Arabidopsis thaliana: one gene and its partners. The protein of the gene in region 4 purifies or fractionates together with the protein of the main gene of each other region. This does not show direct contact. Each region holds a gene or a part of one and is shown on either strand. Other genes may lie near its edges. The genes, in order: AT1G25260, PRS2, AT2G35390 and AT1G09060.

Region 1 (4,807 bases), 5.9 Mb from region 4:
AAAGCCACACACTCTCTCTTTCTCATCTCACCTCAATACGTGATCTCCTTGATTTACATTTTTTTTTTTAACAAAATCTTTTTGTTCATTAGGAAAGAAGAAATAAGCAAAAAAATTAAGGATAAAGTATATGGAACTTGTTTTTCCAATCTAACTTACCTAAATTTGTATAGGCAAACTCCGTAAATCCAATAAAAGTCCCATACATGAATTAGGAAACAATTTATCCCGCATTATCTGCGGATAGAAAACAAGAAACAGAAAGTTGATATTTGATTGAGTATATTTAAATGAGAGAATATCGTATTTTCGATTTTATATATATATATATATATATATATATGTAATGTTAAGGAAATATATTAAGACATAATAGTATACTTATACTTGTTTAAAATGAGAGAACCCGTAGTTTATGTATATATTTTTTTTTTATAACAAAAATATGTTAACCAAAATTTAATTAAAAAATATGTTATCAAAATTCATAAAATGTTGAAAATCTACAACTAAACATTTGTTACGTCGGAGTTGGAAGTATCGCCTTTCCGTTTAATCTTTTACCAAAATCTCCGGTGGGTTCTATTTTGTTCAACCGCATTCGCCTCATAGTATCTTCAACCCCTTTCGTAGAAAACTGCTTCTATCCCTAACATCACAACTCTAAGCTCACCTAGTCAAACGCAATAGTTTCGGATTGCTAAAAAACAAACAAAAAAACAAAAAACAAGAAATTATCAAAAGAGATGGACGACGTGTGAACGTTGTTGGACTGCTCTCAAGCCCATGGACCACAATAATTTTAAAGACAAGAAGAAAAACTTGCTTTAAATTATCATACGCATGCCAATTAATTCGGTCCCAACACCATCTATAAATCTGTAAAAAGTAAGCAAATTGAGTAAGAAATTCCATAATGTGGCTGAATAAGAAAAACAAGGTTTTCAAGATTGATTTGCCAATATTAGGATAGGGGGTTCTTGAAGATAAGTTGATATTCTACAAAACATGTAAAGCAAGCAAAACTTTGACTTAAAACATTTGAATGCAAACCATGTGCCACAATATAAAATCCATGTGATAGTGATGATATTAAGAAAAATTTAAAGGGTGGAGTCAAAATCTTGGCTTCCTAAGAGGTTTCAACGTCTGAGAGATCTTCTCGGTAAAGCTCTGACAGATCTTCTCTGTAAAGCTCAAAGTCACTAGGGCTCCATCTGCAGAGCAAGTTCAGCTTGAAAGTAGCCATCTTCATTCGCAATAGACGCTGCAAAGTAAACAAACAAGTATAAGAAATAAAGCATACAAATTAAAAGGAAAGGGTTTTGGTATACAGAAGTCTTATTACCAAAATGTGGGCTGATTTTGGCGAAAGTTGTTTTCCTTCTTCACAAACTACAAAGTCAGCGACCAACTCCACAGTACCTACATATTAAAATAAGAAGAAGAAATAAGTTTTTGGATTAATATAGATAGCAAAAGTGAGTATGAGAAAGAGGAATATTAAGATGGTGAGACGACAGACCTTTGTTTAGTCGTACAGGCATTTCAAGCTTCCGAAGAAGTGGTTCCATCTCATGTGTGAACTGTTCTAGAGGACCTTCCTTCAGTTCAACCTAATCATTTAGGTGGTACCAATATAGTAATTAAGATAAAAGTAACGAAACAAAGTTTTTTAAATAACAAAGAGAAGCAGAGCCTGATCATAGTCAAGCTTATTTATTTATCTAGAAACAACAGTATATAGAGATGGCACAAGTTCTGTTCACAAACCGTTTCTACTGCAATGCTTCCGGTCCTTGAAAAGTCGGAATCCTCATAAGCGTTAAATAAGCTGCAATACACAACCAGAAGAAGTATTGTGAACAGTTACAACAACTAGACATGTATACAATTCAAACCCGTCACTGTTGTTTCACCAAAGCAAAAGAGGAAAAAAGAGGACGTCAAGAGATACATAGATAGATACCTTTCGACTTCTTCCTTTGGCATATCAGTAACAAGAAGTCCAGTATCACCACGAAGCAGCTGAAACAACATTCCACAACATATGTAAATCTAACTGACAAAAAATGACCATTTAACATAAAAGAACCATTGTAAGAAGCAGAATACACAAACCTTGGAGACTTTGTAGATACCAGAACGGAGTTCATCTTCTGCAGAACGACCAAGAGCAACCTGCATCACTTTGTTCGAACCTAGGAAGAACCTAGACAAATAAGAACCGAGTCAGTCATAACATTCAAGTAATTCTAACATCAACCAGAAGAAGGACAAAGAAACTAACTTTCCATTGTGCCTAAACTGCTGCCTAAACTCCTTGAATTTGATATTTCTCATGTTTTCAAAAGAGAAAACATAGACAGAGGAATATTTTTCAACAGCCTCCCTAATTCCATTCACAATACACTCCTTATGCTCTCTTCCTTTCTTCTTCGTCTTAGACAAAGTCACTGCAGCAAAAAATCAGAAAACAAAACCCTTAGATAAACCATTCATCAATCGATTCAACCATAGAAGCTATGAAAAAACATTACTAACTCCAACAAGTTAAAGTTTTTTTCAAAAGGGTTCCTCTAAAAACCTAACAAAACCCTAAAACCCTTGACGGCGGCTACAAAAGTTACAGCTTCCAAAACCAGTGACAGAGATACAATGGTTCAGACAATAGAGAGCAGAAAGAGTGAAGGAAGAAGAGTTCTAACCTGGTCTATCTCGCTTTGATTTAGGCATAGCTGAGGTTTCAAATGTTGTATGGAAGTGAGAGGAACGAAAGTGAAGGAGAACGGCTTCTGTTTATTAAGCTCCTTTCAATTTTCTTCAGGGAAACTGAAACCCTTGTTCCCTTGTTTGCTTTAATTCGCACTTTTTAATCTGGACCCCTAATTCAACCCGATCCGGATCCGGCCCGTTTCAGGCCTTTTAGCTATCAGAAATCTGGGCCGATTTTTTTTTGTCATTGGAGGGTGTACTAGTTTAAATTTAAATGGATTATAGTGTTTTTAGTTTTTTTTGTTTTGTTGTGCAAAAGTTTTTAAGTTAAGAAATTAAAGTTTTAAATTTAATGTTATAAAAATTAATTAAAAAGTGGTACTTTCAAAATCATATTATTAAACCTCTTAATAATGAATTATAAATTATTTATATGAATGCTCGGAAATTAAACAATGTAAACGTATAGGGAACAATAGGAACAACCATTAGTAGTGAGTAGTGATCTCACTACTGGCAATTTGTTCGAGACTAAGGGGATGGGTCCACTCATTTGTAGAAGTCCTCAACCCTTCTCATGCTCGTAGTAGTCGCCGTGGCTTGTGTTTTGTTCTTGGACGAGAAGTTTATTTGGGAAGGTAAAAGACAATTTATTTATTAAGATTTGATAATATTTATAAGCATACACTATATTATTGTTTTCAAATTGAAGTGTACTTGAAGCAATATATTTATTTTTATTTTTACTAGGAGCAATATTGATTGTATGTGGGCTATATATATGTCGTGCTATATGGCGAAAAGATCAAGAGATGAGTGGAATTAGTTCCGTCGGGGGAATTAAAAAAACACACAAAAATCGCTCGAGATTGTTATAGCTAGTGGTATTGATAGTGGCTCGATCTATGGCATAAAAGAAAATGATGGAAAATATATGACATTCAATTGGGGTATCATAACGTTCTCTAGAGGTTTTTTTGTGTGTGAAATTTTAATTGGGTCAGTATGAATATAACTTTTTTTCTTTCTCATTCTTATAATATGTATGTATGAATTGATACTTGGTTTTCACTTTTGGTCGTATCATCTTTATGCAAGTCACATGAAAGAGAGCAGAAGAATGGAAAGAGAATCCAAGCCCAAAACTTCCACATTTGGATCTTTACCAAGTGTATTTGGCTTTACGTACGCATGTTGCTTACTGACAATAATGATATACGAGCCTTTTTCTTTCTTTTGGAGTTCTTGTGTGTGGCAAAGCCATCGCGGAAAAGCCACAAAGCATGCTTAGCACGTGTCAACGTCAACCTAATATGTTACTTTTATTTATATCTTGTTTAACTTCACAATTATGTTTTAATAAATGTTAATAGCACCGAGCATGTTTCTGCATTGTCATTTTGGCTCATATAGTAAAACGCATTACCGTTCGTATAAGAATGTGTGGCATCGATGTAAATGTATAATAGTTTTCTTGTCATGTTATAACAAATGCTTTTGCAAAAAAAAAAGATTCTTTTGCAGTGAAACGCTCTTGAAAGCTTGTGGAGCTCCTTTCATAGAACGACAATAAACAGTTTCGTCTTATTTTTGCATTACGTCTTCACTTTGTATTCTGTTTTCCCTTTGATCATGAATATACATTTCAACACATAAACTCTTTTGTTTTTCTTTTCTTTTGTCTACAAGAAGGTTAATCCTTCCAAACTTTGCTACTTTAGTAACGAGTTTCCAGAAACAAATATTTGAATCTCACATCTTCCTATATCATGAGCTAGGAGGATTGGACAGTTAATACAATTGAAGTGGAGCACAATGAAAAAGGTATAGAGGTAGAATTAAAGACGAAAACACCTTGGCTACATAAATAGAGCTGATCATGAGCTAACAGGATTGGATAGTTAATAGTTAGAGACTTAGAGTGGGTATCAAAGTAGAAATCAGAAACTGTGGGGCGAAATCAGAGAAATGTGGGGAGAAATGAAGAGTGTAGTTGCAATGGTGGCGGTTCAGTTTATCTTCGCCGGGATGTTCATTTTGTTTAAGATAACGGTCGACGATGGTACGAATCTCAAAGTTCTTGTAGCGTATC
Region 2 (5,046 bases), 8.8 Mb from region 4:
GACTAAGGTTGTGAAGGCAAATGTTTGCAATTCTTATGTACATACGCAGCAGCTCATGGGTTCTATTTCTTCCGTCAAGCGTCTCTATGTATGTATACCATCCTCTAAGGTAATATGTTTCTATAGTTCTGTTATCTACATATATTATTGGTTTCTTTGTGATCAAATTACTTATGTAGTGTCTCTTATGCAGGATGCTTATCCTGTTGGTAGTGTCTTCCACTGTCTTGTACGTTTAACGATATGCACATGTGAGACAGAGTGGCTAAATCTACTTATGTGTGTACTCAGAGATTCCCCTAAATTACGAGAACTCAAACTTGTTAAGGTCTGCAGATCTAAACCTGAATTATTCAGTCTCTATGATATATCAGCATATATTTTCAGTAGAATAACAGTGTGATGATATCTTACTTTTATCTTAGAACCATGTCTATCGATCTCATCAACCGCGGCCGTGCTGGAATGAACCGAGTGCAGTTCCTGAATGTCTGTTGACAAGTCTTGAAACTCTCGAATGGGTAAAATATGAAGGAACAGAAGAAGAGAAAGAAGTAGCGGCATTCATCTTAAGAAGTGGAAGCTGTTTAAAGAAGGTGACTATCTCCTCTAAATCCACTGACATCAACAAGAAATTTGAGATGCTCAAGGAGTTGTCATTGTTGTTCAGGCGTTCACCTACATGTCAGATTGCATTCGACTGAAGTTTAGTTCAGTCTTCTTCATTAGTCAAGTTGGTCTGTGTTTGATCCAATCTTATAGACTTGTGTTTTCTCTTCTTAAAGAAACTAGTTTTCCCTAGAAACTTATGTTGCTCAAGTTTTTATTCTTTTGACGTTGTGTATTCTTATGTCTTATAACCCTTTTGAGTTTTTATCTTATTTAGCTCTGCTTCTCACTGCATATTCTTCGACAAGCGAAGAATGACGTTCTAAAATGGTCAATGAACTTAGAGACATTTTGGTCTTTTTGTTTAGTGTAATCCGTTATGAGCTTGGATTTAGGTAGATGGAAATATGAATTGACCACGTGTAATCATTTAGAGCAAAATGATATTGCAAATGGTCTAATGGACTCGGATACGCAAGAGGTCGTGGCAATGGCTAATCACATCTCCTTATATCTTTAATGTGTTAAATATGACATTGTGGCTTCTTATTATTATAACCCGTTTGCCTTTTCAGTTTCACACAAATGGCAACAAATCCTTATGGCTGCATATGTTTTCAATTTGGATCTCTTTAAACTCAAAACAAGTATTAAGGCAATCTCTATGATGTTTTGTAAGTACCTTGAAGAGGTCTTTTGTAAGTTGTAACCTTTTTTATGTAGGAGAAGAATCACATCTTCACCTTTTGAGTTTTTGACTTGTTCTTTCCAAAATTTGCACTTTTCAATTGTTGCAATGGCCAATATTAATGATGTGACCCAATCTATTTGTATAGCCGAAAGAACCCAAAATACAAATGGTTTTTTTTTTAAAAAAAGTTTTTTTGCTGAAAATATATTCTTTTTTTAGAAAATTTATGTTCATAATTAGTTATTGGAATCCTAAAGTGGCATGAAAAATGCTTAGAAACAAGTGGGCATTAGGAATCAGTATGAGATTCTTTAGAATTTGTGTTTGAAAACAATTTCTCTTTTCGACTCCTTCAATGTTAAGTCCTACATGACACGTAAGCTGTGAAAGCTACGAGCAGAGACGATTTTAGCCATCAACCAAACGACACCGTTTCTAAACAATATTTATTTTTGTATGTTTTTAGTGTAACAAAATTACAATTGAAAATTCCAAATTTCGAGAAAGAGAGAAGACCCATCGCCGCACCGCTTGAGTCACTCTTCTTCCCGGAGAAGAAAGAAACAACAACAAACATATTCACCATTACCTTCTTCTTCTCCTCCTTCTCCTTCGTTTCTCACTCCAAATTTGGAACCCTAAATCCTAATATCCTTCGATTAGTTCTCTTCTCTATCGGAATTCTTAACGTTGAGAGGAGTCTGATATTTGCCGTGACTCAAGAGATTCCAGGTGTTTCCGACGTATATATTTACATATGGCGTCGTTGGCTCTGACTTCTCCTCCCTCCGTTAAGATTCCTTCGTATCTCTCCTCGTCGTCTTCGTCTCTCTTCTCCCGTTCCTCGATTTCTTTCAGGACCACTGAGTCTCGCTCTCGAATCTGCGTTTCTGGTTACGCGGTGAGCATTGAGCATTTTTTTTCCTTCATGTTAATGAATGAATTCGATATTCACATTGCGTTTCATGTATTTGTTATAAGAAAATTCAAATTGTTTTTGGATGAATCTATGCTTTGATGATCTGTGAGATTTTTCTGGATTTAGTAGATGCTATTAGCAGTTCGTTTACAGGCTAATTTTGTGAGAATTTGTGTGTTGTCGTCGCTCTTGGCTTGACTTTGTCCATGTATGTGACTGTAGAATTTGGAATTTGGAACTTTCAGCTTTGGAATCTTGTGTGTTGAATACTGTTCATGAATGTTTGGTTATTCTTATGTTTGTAGAGAGATGTAAGAGAGATCGTGTGTTGGTTAAATTTTGTGTCTAACATTTTGAATTTGGTTTCACAATTCCTTGTCATTGTGTTTGATAGAAATGCAATTTGCCTAAGGCACTAAACGGGAACGCTCGTGTTCCAATTATTAATGAGACGACAATTCCTAAGTTCTTTGATTCTTCACGGTTGGAGAAATCGGTTAGTAGAAACAATACTAAGCTCAAGTTGTTCTCTGGTACTGCTAATCCAGCTTTATCTCAGGTAGTTTTCTCGAGACCTTTGGTTGTCTTTTTTAATCAAGTTTTCTTCTGGTGAAGTATATGCTAAACTCTTGGAATTTTGTGAAGGAAATTGCTTGGTATATGGGTCTGGAGCTTGGGAAGGTTAGCATAAAGAGATTTGCTGATGGAGAGATCTATGTTCAGCTCAAAGAAAGTGTTAGAGGTTGCGATGTCTTTTTGGTGCAGCCTACTTGCACTCCAACTAATGAGAATCTCATGGAGCTATTGATCATGGTGGATGCTTGCCGAAGAGCATCAGCTAAGAAAGTCACAGCTGTGATTCCGTATTTTGGATACGCAAGAGCTGATAGAAAGGTAGGTTCTTTTTGTCTTCTTCAATGGTAGATACAGTATGTCAAGTAATTTCATCTGATGTATCTATTGATGTTTTCAGACACAAGGGCGTGAATCTATTGCTGCCAAATTGGTAGCAAACCTTATAACAGAAGCCGGTGCAGATAGGGTTCTGGCTTGTGATCTTCATTCAGGACAATCCATGGGTTATTTTGACATACCAGTGGATCATGTCTATTGCCAGGTATCTTAAGTTTCAACCTTTTTGATAGACAAGCCTCTACTTTTTATGCAACCTTTAAAATCTTACACAATTGTGATTACATTTCAGCCTGTGATACTTGATTATCTTGCTAGCAAGTCAATTTCCTCTGAGGATTTGGTAGTGGTTTCTCCTGATGTTGGTGGAGTAGCCAGGGCACGTGCATTTGCTAAGAAATTATCTGATGCACCACTTGCCATTGTCGATAAAAGGCGTCACGGCCACAATGTCGCTGAGGTAAAAATTTAAATTTACCTTCATTTTATCCTTTCTACACGCAAGTTCTCATGTGTTGATAATACTCTTTCCCACAGGTCATGAACCTAATCGGTGATGTTAAAGGGAAGGTGGCAGTAATGGTGGATGATATTATTGATACAGCTGGTTAGTAAAAATTGCCAGAAACTCCTCTTTCCGTTGATATGTTTGTTATAAACAAAAGCTTCCAAACTCTAGGCCATAATCGAGATATTACTAAATAGAGATTATTCTGTGATTTGCAGGCCATACATTACTAAGAACCAGTTTTTTATCTTCTTATTTACAGGAACCATTGTGAAAGGAGCAGCTCTTTTACACGAGGAGGGTGCACGTGAGGTTTACGCTTGCTGTACACACGCTGTTTTCAGGTAAACCCATTAGCTTGAGTTTTACCAGTTCTTCTCCATTTTCGTTTATGAAACTAAGAGACCGTTTTCTTGAATGAATCAATGTCACAGTCCTCCTGCGATAGAGCGGTTATCAAGCGGTTTGCTGCAAGAAGTGATAGTGACGAATACTTTACCAGTAGCGGAGAAGAATTACTTCCCGCAGTTAACGATATTATCGGTGGCTAATCTTCTGGGTGAGACCATTTGGCGTGTCCATGATGATAGCTCCGTTAGTAGTATTTTCCTTTGATACTTGTTGGTTTTTGTTAATCGGTTTAGGATCGGTCTAAGTTCCTCTTTTTTGTTCTACTTCTTCTCGACAGTTTCTAGTCTAACCATGTCTTGCTTCTCTTACTCACCTAAAGTATGTCACAGTTCTATCTTTTCTTCTTTTTAGCATAATAGAGTTATGAGATATCAATGACAATAAAATTTTAATATTTTGGTTTATTGAAAATAATTACATTATGGTGTAAACATTATTTCTCAGGATTTATTGAGAATTTCTAAATTAACAATTTCCCCAACTTGCATATTTCTGGCAATAAATAGTTTTGGCATTTTATGAAATAAGTGACTAATTTTTATGGTTTAGTGTTCTTTCTTCGGTTAACCAATTTTTATTGCAAAAAAAAAGGAACAAATTAGGGTTTTATCAAGCCCGTCGTTGCATATAAATAGTCTTTTCATCGCCGCTTGAAACAGATAAGTGTTTCCTTCGTCTCTCTGTGGTCCGATATGTCTCCCTATAATCTCTGTTTCATAGTTTAATCATATTCTTTTGTGGTTTTGAATTCTTATGTTCGAAAATCTTGAGTAGTTGCTGTGATGTAACTACCGTGTGCCAGAGATGAAGTTATTCATCGTTGACGGCAAACATAACCTTAGAGTTCTAAGCTTTTCTTTTGTTCTATTTTTTGGTGTGTGGTCGAAGTGACGATAAAGAATTCACAGTCTGTCAATCCACTGACAACATTTGAGTGATGTTATTGTGATATCTCGACAGGTTCTGATCTACTCTTAATAAAAACCCTCCCAATGA
Region 3 (4,801 bases), on a different chromosome or scaffold from region 4:
GAGAACACAATTACATCACATATATCAGTGGATTGACAGACCTGTGAATTTCTATCGTCACCTCGACTCATAAAAGTCCTTAAAAGAGTTTTTACAAAAATCCAAAAAAAACATGAATTGAGGAAGAGATTAAGATCTAGAAAAGCTCAGAACTTCTTAGAGGGTTGTGTATTACCGTCAGCGATGGATTAACCATCTCTGGCACACGATTTTTTCCTCACAGCTCTTCTATTTAAATAAATTTCTATGCACAAATCGAAAAACAGAGCCAAACAAAATCACAGATGACAAAACCCTAAGAACTAATTGAGGCGGAACACAAAACAATAGACTTGTCTTGTGATTCCAATGTGAGTCTTCTATATATACTAGTTGACACTAGTCAAATAGAAGCCCTAATTATGACTCAACCTATTCTTTTGGGCTTTTTTTATTTTTTTGGTTGGCCGTGGACTGTACAATCCAATACATAGATTTGTCTGATTATGAAACCCATTATCAAATTGTCAACAAGATTTTTGAGCCAATTTGCACCATGTTAAATGTAGATACGATACAAGATGTTCTATATATTAAGTTAAAAACTTGTGTACACCATAATAAAAAATCGGTTCAACACCATTTGTGCATCCATAATTTTGAGATGTGGAGCAAATAAGAAAAACCTAAGCTGTATCAAAAGACAATGCAAGCAAATTTTGTTGAAGCTTTCCGGTTAGAACATGAACCGGGATAAACTTTCTAAACCGACTAACAAACCAAGAATCGTTCAAATTGTTGGTTGCAATGAGAAAGGTCAAAGGAAAATGCTACTGACGGAACTATCATCATGCACACGCCAAATGGTCTCACCCAGGAGATTAGCCACTGATAATATTGTTAACTGCGGGAAGTAATTCTTCTCTGCTACAGGTAATGTGTTTGTCACTATCACTTCTTGCAGCAAACCCCCTGATAATCGCTCTATCGCTGGCGGGCTTCCATATTGATTTGTTTGAAACAAAGAAAACAAATAATGCTTCAGGAAGTAGTGATTTTGAGACTGTTCAGGAACAAACAAAATATAGGTTAGTGGTTTACCTGAAAACAGCGTGTGTGCAGCACGCATATACCTCCCGAGCACCTTCCTGGTGTAACAAAGCTGCTCCTTTTACAATGGTTCCTGAAACAAGAATGGTTCATAGATGATTCAGCCTGGAAAAGGAGAAGTTGATGGGGAATAGAGAGAGATAGGAAACTTGGTTTGTCGGTAAAATGACAACTCCATGCCGTTTTACTAACCAGCAGTATCAATCATATCATCCACCATTATTGCCACCTTCCCTCTTACATCACCAATTAGGTTCATGACCTGAAAGGAAAGTATAACAAATGTGAACTTAAGGGGAAGCAAGCGGTGTTGGTGAGCAAACTCTGACTCTGAAAGAAAGGGATACCTCAGCAACATTGTGTCCAGAACGCCTTTTATCGACAATGGCAAGTGGTGCATCTGATAATTTCTTTGCAAAAGCGCGGGCCCTGGCTACTCCACCAACATCAGGAGAAACCACTACCAAATCCTCTGAGGGAATTGACTTGCTAGCAAGATAATCAAGTATCACCGGCTGAAACAATTAAGCAGATAAAGGTATTATACACAAAGGAGCATACACACAATGCATAAAGAGGGGTATCAAGAACGTGGCTTTAGAGGTGAACCTGGCAGTACACATGGTCGACTGGAATGTCAAAATAACCCATCGACTGTCCTGAATGAAGATCACAAGCAAGAACTCGATCTGCACCAGCTTCAGTGATAAGATTTGCAACCAATTTGGCAGCAATGGATTCACGCCCTTGTGTCTGCAAGCAGCAAAACATACAATTTTATCCAGAAAAGATTACCAATAGCTAAGTTATCAACAAACCCTCCATATCATGTGAAAGTAGCTAAACCACACAAAGAGACTTTACCTTCCTGTCAGCTCTTGCATATCCAAAATACGGAATCACAGCTGTAACTTTCTTAGCTGATGCTCTTCGGCAAGCATCTACCATAATCAAAAGCTCCATGAGATTCTCATTAGTGGGAGTGCAAGTAGGCTGCACCAAATAGACGTCACATCCCCTAACGCTCTCTTGTAGCTGAACATAGATCTCTCCATCAGCAAACCTCTTAATATTAACCTTGCCAAGATCCAAGCCCATATACCAAGCAATTTCCTGAGCAAGTGCTGGATTTGCAGTACCAGAGAACAACTTCAACCTTGTATTGGTTCTATTGACTGATTTCTCCATACGAGCAGATTCCAAGAACTTTGGAAGTGTCCTCTCATTAATAATTGGGATACTTGGATTCCCGTTTCCCACATTCAATGACTCCGGCATATCACATTTCTAGCAACAACAACAACAAGACTCAATCAGAGATTCATATAATCATATAGGTCTCAATTTCTGTTCCTGGATAGTTTCAAACAAATGTATTCTGAAGAAAGAGACAACCTTTATGTAGCTATATTCGCATAAACAAACAATATTCAAACGAAAGAGACGAGCTTTTCAGCTCATGCGCCAATAAAAATCTCAGAACTACAAACTTGACAAGATGGCTATTAGGGTCCACTCAATCTAGGAACCTCAAATCCGGAAACGTAATAAGAAAGGAAGGATCAACATTCAAAAATGCAGAATAAGCAATTCTATAGATTCATGAACACCGCTTACAACACAAGCGAAGACAGAGTTTCGGGAGCGAAACTGAGAGGTTCTGACGGATAGAGAAGAGTTAGAGAAGAAAGTTGAAGACGAAGAGGCTAGATACGTCGGCGTTTTTGCGGCGGGAGGAAAGGATAGACCCAGAGACGCCATTGTCAGCAATACCTCACGTAAACCCACCTCTGACTCACTCAAGCAGTCTCTTCCACAACGAATTCGGAAAAATTATGGTTTAGGATTTTGAAGGTGACAGAGTGATACGGAAGAAGGAATGGCTTAATGGTTTTCTTCTCTCCTTCTTCTTCGTCTCCGAGTTTGTGTTGGACTCTTCTTTCTCGAATTTGGATTTTTTTTTTTTTCGTTTTGTGAAAAATAAATAGGAAATGGTTTGGTTGGTGTGTACAAGACTACAAGTTGTTACTAAACGACATCGTTTGATGGATTGGAGACGTCTGGCTGGACTTTTCTTAGGATTAATTAACTTTTTGGGATTGATTGAAATCTTGGTCTCTTCATTTTGTATTTCACCAAATGTCTCAAAACTCAAAAAAAATTTACTAACTTATTTATTTAGAATATTGAAATTTAAACTTTTGTATTTACATTGTTATAGAATATACACCAATCAAATTCAGTTTTAGTCAAATTCGAGTTTTGACTTCAAAGAGAAAAATCATGAGATTCATCACTTTTTTGTTCTTCCATTTGACTGCAATGTGGAGGGATTGGAATTTATTGGTATACCAAAAAAAATACATGATATACGGTTAAGTTCCTCGTGCCATTTACCTTCAAAAACCGAAGTTGGTAGACCCGGTTCACAATTCATTTTTTTCCGAATAACCAAACCGGCCCAAAAAGTTTTATCCTTTTGTCTCGGTCTAATCCATTTCTCTAGTGCCAAAGCTAACAATGGCGGTTTTGGAAGCTTCTCTCTCCATTTTCTCCTTCTCTTCTTCTTCTTCCTCTTCAAAACCTTATCTCTTTTCTAAACGCTCTTCTTCCTTAAAACTTACTGCCCTTAGTCTTCGAATTCCCAGCAATCTCTCTCCCGTCTTCTCTCTACGTTCCGGCAGCGATAACTCACGGCGGCTCGTCTCCGTACTCTGTTCCGTCGCGGAGAAAGAAACATCGGCGGATGAAGAAACGTCGCAGGAGGAGAAGACTGAAGAAACCCAGAATTCAAATCTGAAAAGGAAGCTTTTTGTATTCAATCTTCCTTGGTCTATGAGTGTAAATGACATTTCCGAGCTCTTTGGACAATGTGGGACTGTGAACAATGTCGAGGTCTTTCTTCTTTCTCAATTTCGTTTCAATCTTTATGTTATTACTAGCAATTGCCTTACCTCAATTTATAAACTTTTCCTAGATTATAAGGCAAAAAGATGGAAAGAACCGAGGATTTGCTTTTGTAACTATGGCTTCTGGAGAAGAAGCTCAAGCAGCTATTGATAAGTTCGATACTTTTGTAAGCTCAAATCCCTTAGATTCTTTTCTGATTGAGTGTTGTTTGTTTAATTTCAAAGCCTTTTAGGTAGATAGTTCAAACTACTAAATCATACATTGTGTTGAGTTGTTAGCTAAGGTTTGATGTTTAAGCTTCTATCTTCTTTGTTTTCAGCAAGTGTCAGGGAGGATCATTAGCGTAAGCTTTGCAAGAAGGTTCAAGAAGCCTACTCCGAAATCACCGAACGATCTTCCTTCTCCTGCCCCTGGAGACACTCGTCACAAACTCTACGTATCTAATCTCGCTTGGAAAGCAAGATCAACACATCTCCGAGAGCTTTTCACTGCTGCAGATTTCAACCCGGTCTCAGCTCGGGTTGTTTTCGCTGACCCCGAAGGTAGATCTTCTGGCTATGGCTTTGTCTCATTTGCTACTAGAGAAGAAGCTGAGAATGCAATCACAAAACTCAATGGGAAGGTATGAAGTTCCAAGCATATTAATATAAAGTTTGCTCCTTTAGCCTTGAGCATGTAAAGTGTTTCATTACAATTTGGTTTTTCTATAGGAGATAATGGGTAGACCTATCACTCTAAAGTTTAGTCTGAGAAGCGCCAGTGAATCTGAAGATGGTGACAGTGTAGAAGCTAACAACGCTTC
Region 4 (7,103 bases):
TGGAATCCGACTTTCTTATAACCAAGAGAATGAAAAGCACAACTAAACCAGAACCGAGAAAACATGAAAGTTCAACGAAGAAAAAGCGCTCAGCTAAAGCATGTAACAGAAATGGGAGTGCAGACTTGGAGCACAGAGGAGAAGATAGAAGCAGTTTTACAAAGAAATCACCAACAAGTAAGCCCTTGGATCAAATAGAGGATTCAAAGCCTAGCTATCTTCTCAATGAAGCAAGAACTGAGAGTAAGGCTCTGGATCAAGTACAGGAGTCAAGGCCGGTTCTAACTGAATACCGTAAACTTCCACCGATTGTATTGAAGCTTCCATTCAGGCGTGGCTAAGGAGCTCAACGGACTTAAGTCTGAAAGTTTTGATCGCGGGATGTGAGAAGATTGGCCTGGCTGTATGCTGAAGAATAAGTGTGTACAGAAGAGCGATATTAACACAAAGGGTTTTATTCCTTTGTTATTCTTATTACTTCCATTATTAGACAGAAGTAATGTTTCTATTATTGGTTTGCTTAGGAGTTCGTTGAAGTAACTTTCATATGGTCTAGTAGTAGAAAAAATTATGTGGAATAATGATGGTTATGAATATACTATATGAAGCATGATATACACAGTCATAGATACATTACAAATCCTGAATAGTAGTAGTAGTCGTCTAAACTAAAGTCACAACAATGATTTTTATACTACTATACAAATCTTGACTGATTTAAGTGCAGCTGTTTTGCTGCGGCCGCTTGGTTGCCTCGTCTAAGTTGTGAGAGACTGCTTTGGTTAAGTTAGAGTCTTCAAATCCAAGCTCTGCTCCAAACCTTTTGCAGCCATAACGAAGGAACCAAATTTCAAAAATTGTCAGTTCAAATTCACTTCATACTCTTTATATTAGCTTTGGTGTCAATACTTTTTTACTTACTTTGGATCCAAGACCAGTTTCTGAACCTCTTTAATGGCTGAGCTAGCTGCGTATAATGATATCTTTCCAATCTGATGTTAAGAACCCAAACCATTTCCAAGAGTTAGAAGTGAAGGCACTGAGATGGTTAATGGTTTGTTCTAAGGGAAGGCAGAATCAAAGATTTGTTACCTCTAGAATCTGAAGTTTTGCCTCGTGGTCGTTTGGTAAACACCGGATTTCTTCAGCTAGTCTTGCTGACTCTCCAACGCTTTCAGGGCACAAGAAGTCAAGTGCCACCTGAATATTCGACTGAGAATTGTATACATGGGAAAAAAGTTTAGTTTAGCTCAAGGGAAAAGAAACTTAATGGAATAATGTTGCAACGAAATAAATTTACCTGAAGATTAGTGATTTGGAACGGACATCCAGCCGGAATGAAGATAGCCTCACCACGATGTTGCTCAAATGTCCATGGCTCAACTCCTGAAACAATAGCAAGAGTCATCCCTCAGGTTTCCAAGCGATTAAGTGTTTGGAAATAGAATAGGGAATAGAATGTTTGTTTTTCCTACCAAACTCGTCTCTTAGTTGTCTCTTGTGGTGTTCATTTAAGAACAATCCTTCATACAACGGGCGTGACACCTGAAACCAGAGTAAACAAACTAGGAAACTCAATCATTCCACATACAAGACTTTACACACTTCATTTATTTGAATTAGCAGGTACGGCTTACAAAATCAGTCTGGATATTATCAGGCTTCTGGAATGTTCTCTGCAAATACCCGGACAACTTTGGGACGTCTTGGCGTCGAAAGACATCCCACTGGGCTCCTCCTGCACATGAAGATGTGCAAGAAGATTCCATGTTGTCACCGTTTTCCGTTAAGTTCTCTGGATTCACAGTCAACGCCAACTCAGGTTCATTCTTCTCCATACTGGCTTCACCAAGTGATAGATCATGTAACTCTCCGTCCCTTAATTTCTGCTCAGGGCTAAGAAGTGACTCATTTTCGCTCATCTTCTGGTCAGGTTCCTCTGGAACAGGTTTTGTTTTTCTCACCCTTTCGAATGTTGTTTCTTCAGACGTGTGCACCAATAGGTATACCTGATTAACAGTTTCAACGACTCAATCATTATATATTTTAACAATAATCTCAGTTGACCTAACATATAACCAGTTTCCCTTATCAACCAAAATAAGACAAATGTGATCACTTATAATCCAAGAGCTGAGTAATGTACCATGTCACGCATGTTGTAGTGAATACCAGTCAATGAATCGCCAGCACTGATTTCTTGGTACGTCCCACAAGACACATAAATCTTTGGACCTGAATCGTTTTGGAGCGAGTAATGAGGTAACTTGGCTGCAACATTCAGAAGGCCTAACCGGGGATGAATGTACTCGAGAAACGGAAAACTTCTGATAAACTCAGGTCTTTGGTAGAAAATGAACTCCTCGGAAGCACTTGGGCTCGGCCAGTCCTTTAACTTCCACAATAGCGGAAGACCTGTCTCTTGGTTCTTTCCATCTTTATATGCTCTTGTAAACTCCCCAAGTCTTACATCAACCTGTGAATCAAGTTATGAACATTACTGAATCTGTGACTTCACAATATGAAGAAGATAAGAAGATAAGAAGAAATGTACCTCTAAACCATCCAAGCAATTAATGGCCTTCAAGAATGGATCATGTTCTCTCAGTTTCTCGTCCGAAAGCTCGTCTATATCCCTCCAAATAGTCTCAGGATCCCATCTAGAGCAAGATGAGTCATCAAGTACCATTTTCACAGTAACAAGCCGACCCTCTGCCCATTGTTGCTCAAACTTAGCTACTCCATCAGTTTTAATCGTTTCAAGCGACGGGCTGTACACGTAGTTGTCACCGCTCTCTTCTCTCTCAGCAAATTTGCAGAATCTTGAATCACACATATCAGGGTTCAGAAGATCAGATAATTTGCAGCCACTAACAATCTCCTCAGCATTTTTCACAAGCTTTGCAACCCAATTCATCTTGAAAATGCGGGCAAGATTCAAAGAATGTGAACCGCAGCCTCCATACTCCTTAGGAGGGCAAGGGATGCTCCCATCACCGTTGGCTTCCCACTCAGGAAACTTGTATGAAAAGTTTAGTTTTAGTTTGGGAGCTCCTTTTCTATCTTGTACGTTTTGGTTAGTCCCACTAATCGTCACTGAAGACTCTTCCCGTAGATCTTGACAGCATCTCAGGCAAAGGTCATATGAGCAGTTCGGACAGTGACGGTAGTAGTCAACAACTGGTATCCGACACACGTTGCTGCAAGAAACAAAACTTCAGTCATGTACGATAATACAAAGTGCCAACAAGAAATAGTTGCAGTACTAAGTCAAAAGAAGAAAGGCATGTAAGATAGATCACAAGTACCAGCACATCTGCTCATCTGCTTTCAATCTTGCCCTGACAAGATCAATCTCAACTTCTATAGAGTAGAACAAACTAGTGTTAACCGCAAAAAATGTTACGAGTATATATAATTCATCAATAGTCACTGTAAACAAAAACTCGTCTCACCACGAAGCCTCTTCTCTAGTTCAACTTCCATACATTGTTCAAGATGGATCTGCTTTATGACTGGTAGGACAGCTGATAATAGACGATAAAGATACTGCAACTTGTCCAAAACGGGTATTTCCCGGATCCGAACCTGCAATTTTTCACAAAGAGTCATAATCATCTCATGGTCCTAAATTTCAAACCCCAAAATAGGTAGCACTGGTTTGAATCTTTATGATAACACGAGACCACACCTTTATTGTATTATCTGAACGCAGGCAAGATTTGCAATCACACAAGCCACGACATGCAGGGCAAACTTTCTCGACTTCTTCAAGTGATATCTCCGAGTACCTTAAAATGCATGAGACATCATTAGTACCGCGAACTCTTTCTACCAAAGGTTTATAGAATTCTGATATAAACAGAATGAAAAGAAAAGAAAGCACACCTTGCCGATAGACAATTGTGGCAGAAGGCTCTTTGATTGCATTTGAGGCAAGAAATGATTCTCTCTCTATCTTTTCTCTGGCATTGATGGCAGATTTCCCCCAAAGACTCTGCAGACACATCTGTGCTTGCTGCTGAGTATTCCTACAACACAGAAAACCAGTTACTTTTAATCCTTATAAGCAAACAAACACATATGGGTGTACAAGTTCTTTGTCTAACCAATGAGAAACAAGAAACTTACCATAGGACTGGTGCTTTGGTGTGATCTGTTTCGTGTCGGATCCATAACAGCAACAGATGGTGGTGTCCTATAAGATCTGTAGCCCTCTTCAAACATTACAACATCTCTACCCAAGTCATCATTCAAATCCACTGCAACACGTGGAGAGAAACTCCTCATCATCGGTGTCTCGGGCGAGTACCGCATCAGGCTTTTATTATGTCTCTTCTCTAGTCTACCATTACTCTTGGAAGCAGAGGCAAGACCGTTATTATAGTGGTCAATGCTGGTGACTGGTAACTCGAAATCATCCATCTTCCCTTCCGAATACGTATCTGTTTCGCCTAACGATGATCGCCTTTTCGCTTTCTTCTGGTTCGCCCTGAAAGCAGAATTAGCCGCCCGCTTCTTTGCTTGGATGTAGTGCTTCTCACAAACAGTCTTATCAGCCATGGACATTGCAGTGCATCTCCACTGTTTACCATCCGATCTCTTGCACCGTAAGTCATCTGGAATCCCGGGAATAGACTCACCATTGCCATTGCCAATGCCATTGGCGGATCGAGTTTGCTCATTAGCATTCATTCTAATCACTGAATCACAAGTTTCATCAAAATTGACCTGCATTGTCAAAACACTAGATTTTCAAACTAAAATCAGAAATTGAGCACTCACTAAAGGGAAAGAAAACTAAATTGGTAGCTTATACACTCCTGCTCGAATTTGAGAGAGAGATCAACCAAATTACAATCCCAAAATCCAATATTTGTAAGCAAAACCCGTTAAATCCCCCAATTCAACGAACACACACACACACATGATCAATCACTGAACCTAAGAGCTCTAGAAACACATGCTATATCGATCGATATATGTATAGAACTAATAAGTGCGTACAAATTCGAAGACAGAAGAAGAGAACTCCGAAATCGCTAAAATCGAACGTAGAATTGAAGAAGAGTGTTTAAGATTGGGGAATTCGAGAGGCTCATCAACAAGTATATAAGTGTGTATATATATATAGGTACATATATATATGAAAATAATTGCTCGTACTTACAGTGAAAGAAGGAAAACCCCAAACCTGAAATTAGGGTTTTGGTCGAGAGAAATTGCAGAGGTTATAGATGGGAGAGAGACCTATCATGTTCAGGATACTTTTCTTATACTTCTGTCTTTTTTTTTTTTTTTTTTTTTTGGATATTCCCTTTCCGCTTAGGTTTTCCTTTTTTCCTCCTCTGTAACTAAGAAGAAGTAAACTCGGATTCAGACAGAACATGGATATGGGTTCACTTGTTTTTCTTCTTTTCTTTATTTTTGTTTCAGTGTGGTGTTTTTTGATTCAAAAGTGGATCCCCATTGTACAGTTACCAAATATGGATATAAACAAACAAAAGTTAAGGGAAATATGTATACAAATTTCAAATTTAAAATATTTTGATATGTTGTCAAAGAATTATATATAAATATATTAATATTGCAATTTTATTAAAGTAAACTTACCAATTGATGAAACACAAAAAAAAAAGTCCTTGATAAGGTTGTTTTACAGTAATTTGATTCTAAACCTGTTGACTTGTAATGCATCCGGAATTTGGATTTCGGATAGTTTCATAGAAAGAATTATTTGGTTCTAATGTAAATTATGTTCATTTCGTATTTGCTAATGGTAATTAACATTAATGACTATGTCATATTCGTTTTCTAATTTTCAGCGACTAACGATTAAATTGTGTTCATTTTGTAGTTACTGAAAATAACGATGAGCAACTGAACGTGATTCAAAATACTCAACGCTAAAATTTTCATTGGTCAAAAACTTTTAAGTCATTGGCAATGGTGTCGTTTGAAATATGATCGTGTATGTTTGTTGGGTTTTTAGTTATCATTGAGTGATTTTTTTGCTAAACAAATTCTGAATGGTGAGTTGATGATTAGTTTCAAGACTTGCAAGTAGTTGAGTGATGAGATCAAGTACTAGAAGAAAAATCAGGTAAACTTTTTTTGTGTTATATATCAAAATTTGTGAATATGGTCTCCTCCAATATATGGACTAACGTGTATATTTGCGTTTAACTTAAATGTTCCGTGAAGGAGAATAAAGTGGCAAAGAATATGGATAGTGCGTCAGGACCACGCGACGTGAGGCTATCGTTGAATTAAAAGGATGATTCGATCGAGAAAATGAGAACCAATCGCCTTCGAGAATAAGCAAAAATAGAAAACGTATGGGTTATTCCACGCGTATTGCTCTTGACTACTGAAGAAGAAACCAAGAAAGATGCTTGAGATTATTCTACATTTCAAAAGATTCCACCTTATATGCTCATTCATTATCGCAATACATGCATGGTTCCAAGTTTTAAGTTAGTAACTTTTTTCCGAAGACAACTAATCTTCAACTAATTACCATCATATATACCACCATTAGTTGGTTTTGTTAAACTGTAATTCAATGTAAATTTATTAAAACATTTTCATTTAGAGTTTACGGTAAACTTTCGAATGGTAAAGTTGTAGAATTCGTACTCGTCCACTTGATATTCTTTTTCGAATATGTTAGTGATGTTGATCATATCCAATCCTAGCAGAGTAAAATGCGATATGATTACTACATATCATGATATCAACATCAAACAATAATAAGTCTAACTCTCCGGCGTGTCTTTGTCCTATTTTACGTACCTGATTACGTTGTCAAGTAACCAGGCTTACGGAGAACACCGAATTGATCATGGTCTTATCATTTGAGACATTCTTTAAAACGTTTATAATTTCCATATCTTTGAACGTTTACATTGCCATTATCACTAAACTCTTAGATACACATGAGTTTATTATTTGAACCATGGTCAAATAATAATTTACTAAAAACAGCAAGATAATTAAACTTCAGATAAGAAGAAACTAATATTAGAAGGAAAAAAGCTATTTGCATTTAAAGAAACCGCGTCCTTAACAAAAAAAATCTCGTGCGTGTCCCTCCCGTGTGT

What was found.
Region 1: the proteins of AT1G09060 (region 4) and AT1G25260 fractionate together in Arabidopsis thaliana (co-fractionation; one large-scale study listed by BioGRID). This does not show direct contact.
Region 2: the proteins of AT1G09060 (region 4) and PRS2 fractionate together in Arabidopsis thaliana (co-fractionation; one large-scale study listed by BioGRID). This does not show direct contact.
Region 3: the proteins of AT1G09060 (region 4) and AT2G35390 fractionate together in Arabidopsis thaliana (co-fractionation; one large-scale study listed by BioGRID). This does not show direct contact.

The regions. Positions count from the first base shown.
Region 1 is NC_003070.9:8,853,031-8,857,837, forward strand, and holds AT1G25260 (Ribosomal protein L10 family protein), read right to left. Parts: upstream 2,845-4,807; 5' UTR 2,737-2,844; coding exon 2,709-2,736; intron 2,457-2,708; coding exon 2,291-2,456; intron 2,213-2,290; coding exon 2,122-2,212; intron 2,029-2,121; coding exon 1,970-2,028; intron 1,835-1,969; coding exon 1,774-1,834; intron 1,617-1,773; coding exon 1,526-1,616; intron 1,426-1,525; coding exon 1,349-1,425; intron 1,268-1,348; coding exon 1,133-1,267; 3' UTR 504-1,132; downstream 1-503. Other genes in the region: UMAMIT24 (nodulin MtN21 /EamA-like transporter family protein), read left to right, coding at 4,696-4,807.
Region 2 is NC_003070.9:11,679,976-11,685,021, forward strand, and holds PRS2 (phosphoribosyl pyrophosphate (PRPP) synthase 2), read left to right. Parts: upstream 1-1,758; 5' UTR 1,759-2,057; coding exon 2,058-2,201; exon of another isoform or gene 2,202-2,613; coding exon 2,614-2,778; intron 2,779-2,864; coding exon 2,865-3,113; intron 3,114-3,192; coding exon 3,193-3,336; intron 3,337-3,423; coding exon 3,424-3,591; intron 3,592-3,668; coding exon 3,669-3,738; intron 3,739-3,901; coding exon 3,902-3,983; intron 3,984-4,073; coding exon 4,074-4,254; 3' UTR 4,255-4,545; downstream 4,546-5,046. Other genes in the region: AT1G32375 (F-box/RNI-like/FBD-like domains-containing protein), read left to right, coding at 1-109, 194-328, 426-704.
Region 3 is NC_003071.7:14,894,732-14,899,532, forward strand, and holds AT2G35390 (Phosphoribosyltransferase family protein), read right to left. Parts: upstream 3,152-4,801; 5' UTR 2,851-3,151; coding exon 2,707-2,850; exon of another isoform or gene 2,377-2,706; coding exon 1,954-2,376; intron 1,843-1,953; coding exon 1,699-1,842; intron 1,605-1,698; coding exon 1,437-1,604; intron 1,352-1,436; coding exon 1,282-1,351; intron 1,163-1,281; coding exon 1,081-1,162; coding exon of another isoform or gene 1,077-1,080; exon of another isoform or gene 978-1,076; coding exon 797-977; 3' UTR 523-796; downstream 1-522. Other genes in the region: AT2G35410 (RNA-binding (RRM/RBD/RNP motifs) family protein), read left to right, coding at 3,610-3,984, 4,067-4,165, 4,319-4,621, 4,710-4,801.
Region 4 is NC_003070.9:2,920,518-2,927,620, forward strand, and holds AT1G09060 (JmjC domain protein JMJ24), read right to left. Parts: upstream 5,240-7,103; 5' UTR 5,171-5,239; intron 4,809-5,170; exon of another isoform or gene 4,748-4,808; 5' UTR 4,738-4,747; coding exon 4,132-4,737; intron 4,032-4,131; coding exon 3,889-4,031; intron 3,792-3,888; coding exon 3,692-3,791; intron 3,589-3,691; coding exon 3,456-3,588; intron 3,364-3,455; coding exon 3,309-3,363; intron 3,201-3,308; coding exon 2,555-3,200; intron 2,477-2,554; coding exon 2,147-2,476; intron 2,010-2,146; coding exon 1,638-2,009; intron 1,546-1,637; coding exon 1,476-1,545; intron 1,387-1,475; coding exon 1,301-1,386; intron 1,213-1,300; coding exon 1,093-1,212; intron 993-1,092; coding exon 922-992; intron 821-921; coding exon 718-820; 3' UTR 547-717; downstream 1-546. Other genes in the region: AT1G09050 (arginine-glutamic acid dipeptide repeat protein), read left to right, coding at 1-341. UniProt on the Arabidopsis thaliana protein: Binds histone H3 but seems to have lost demethylase activity probably due to its inability to bind iron Fe(2+).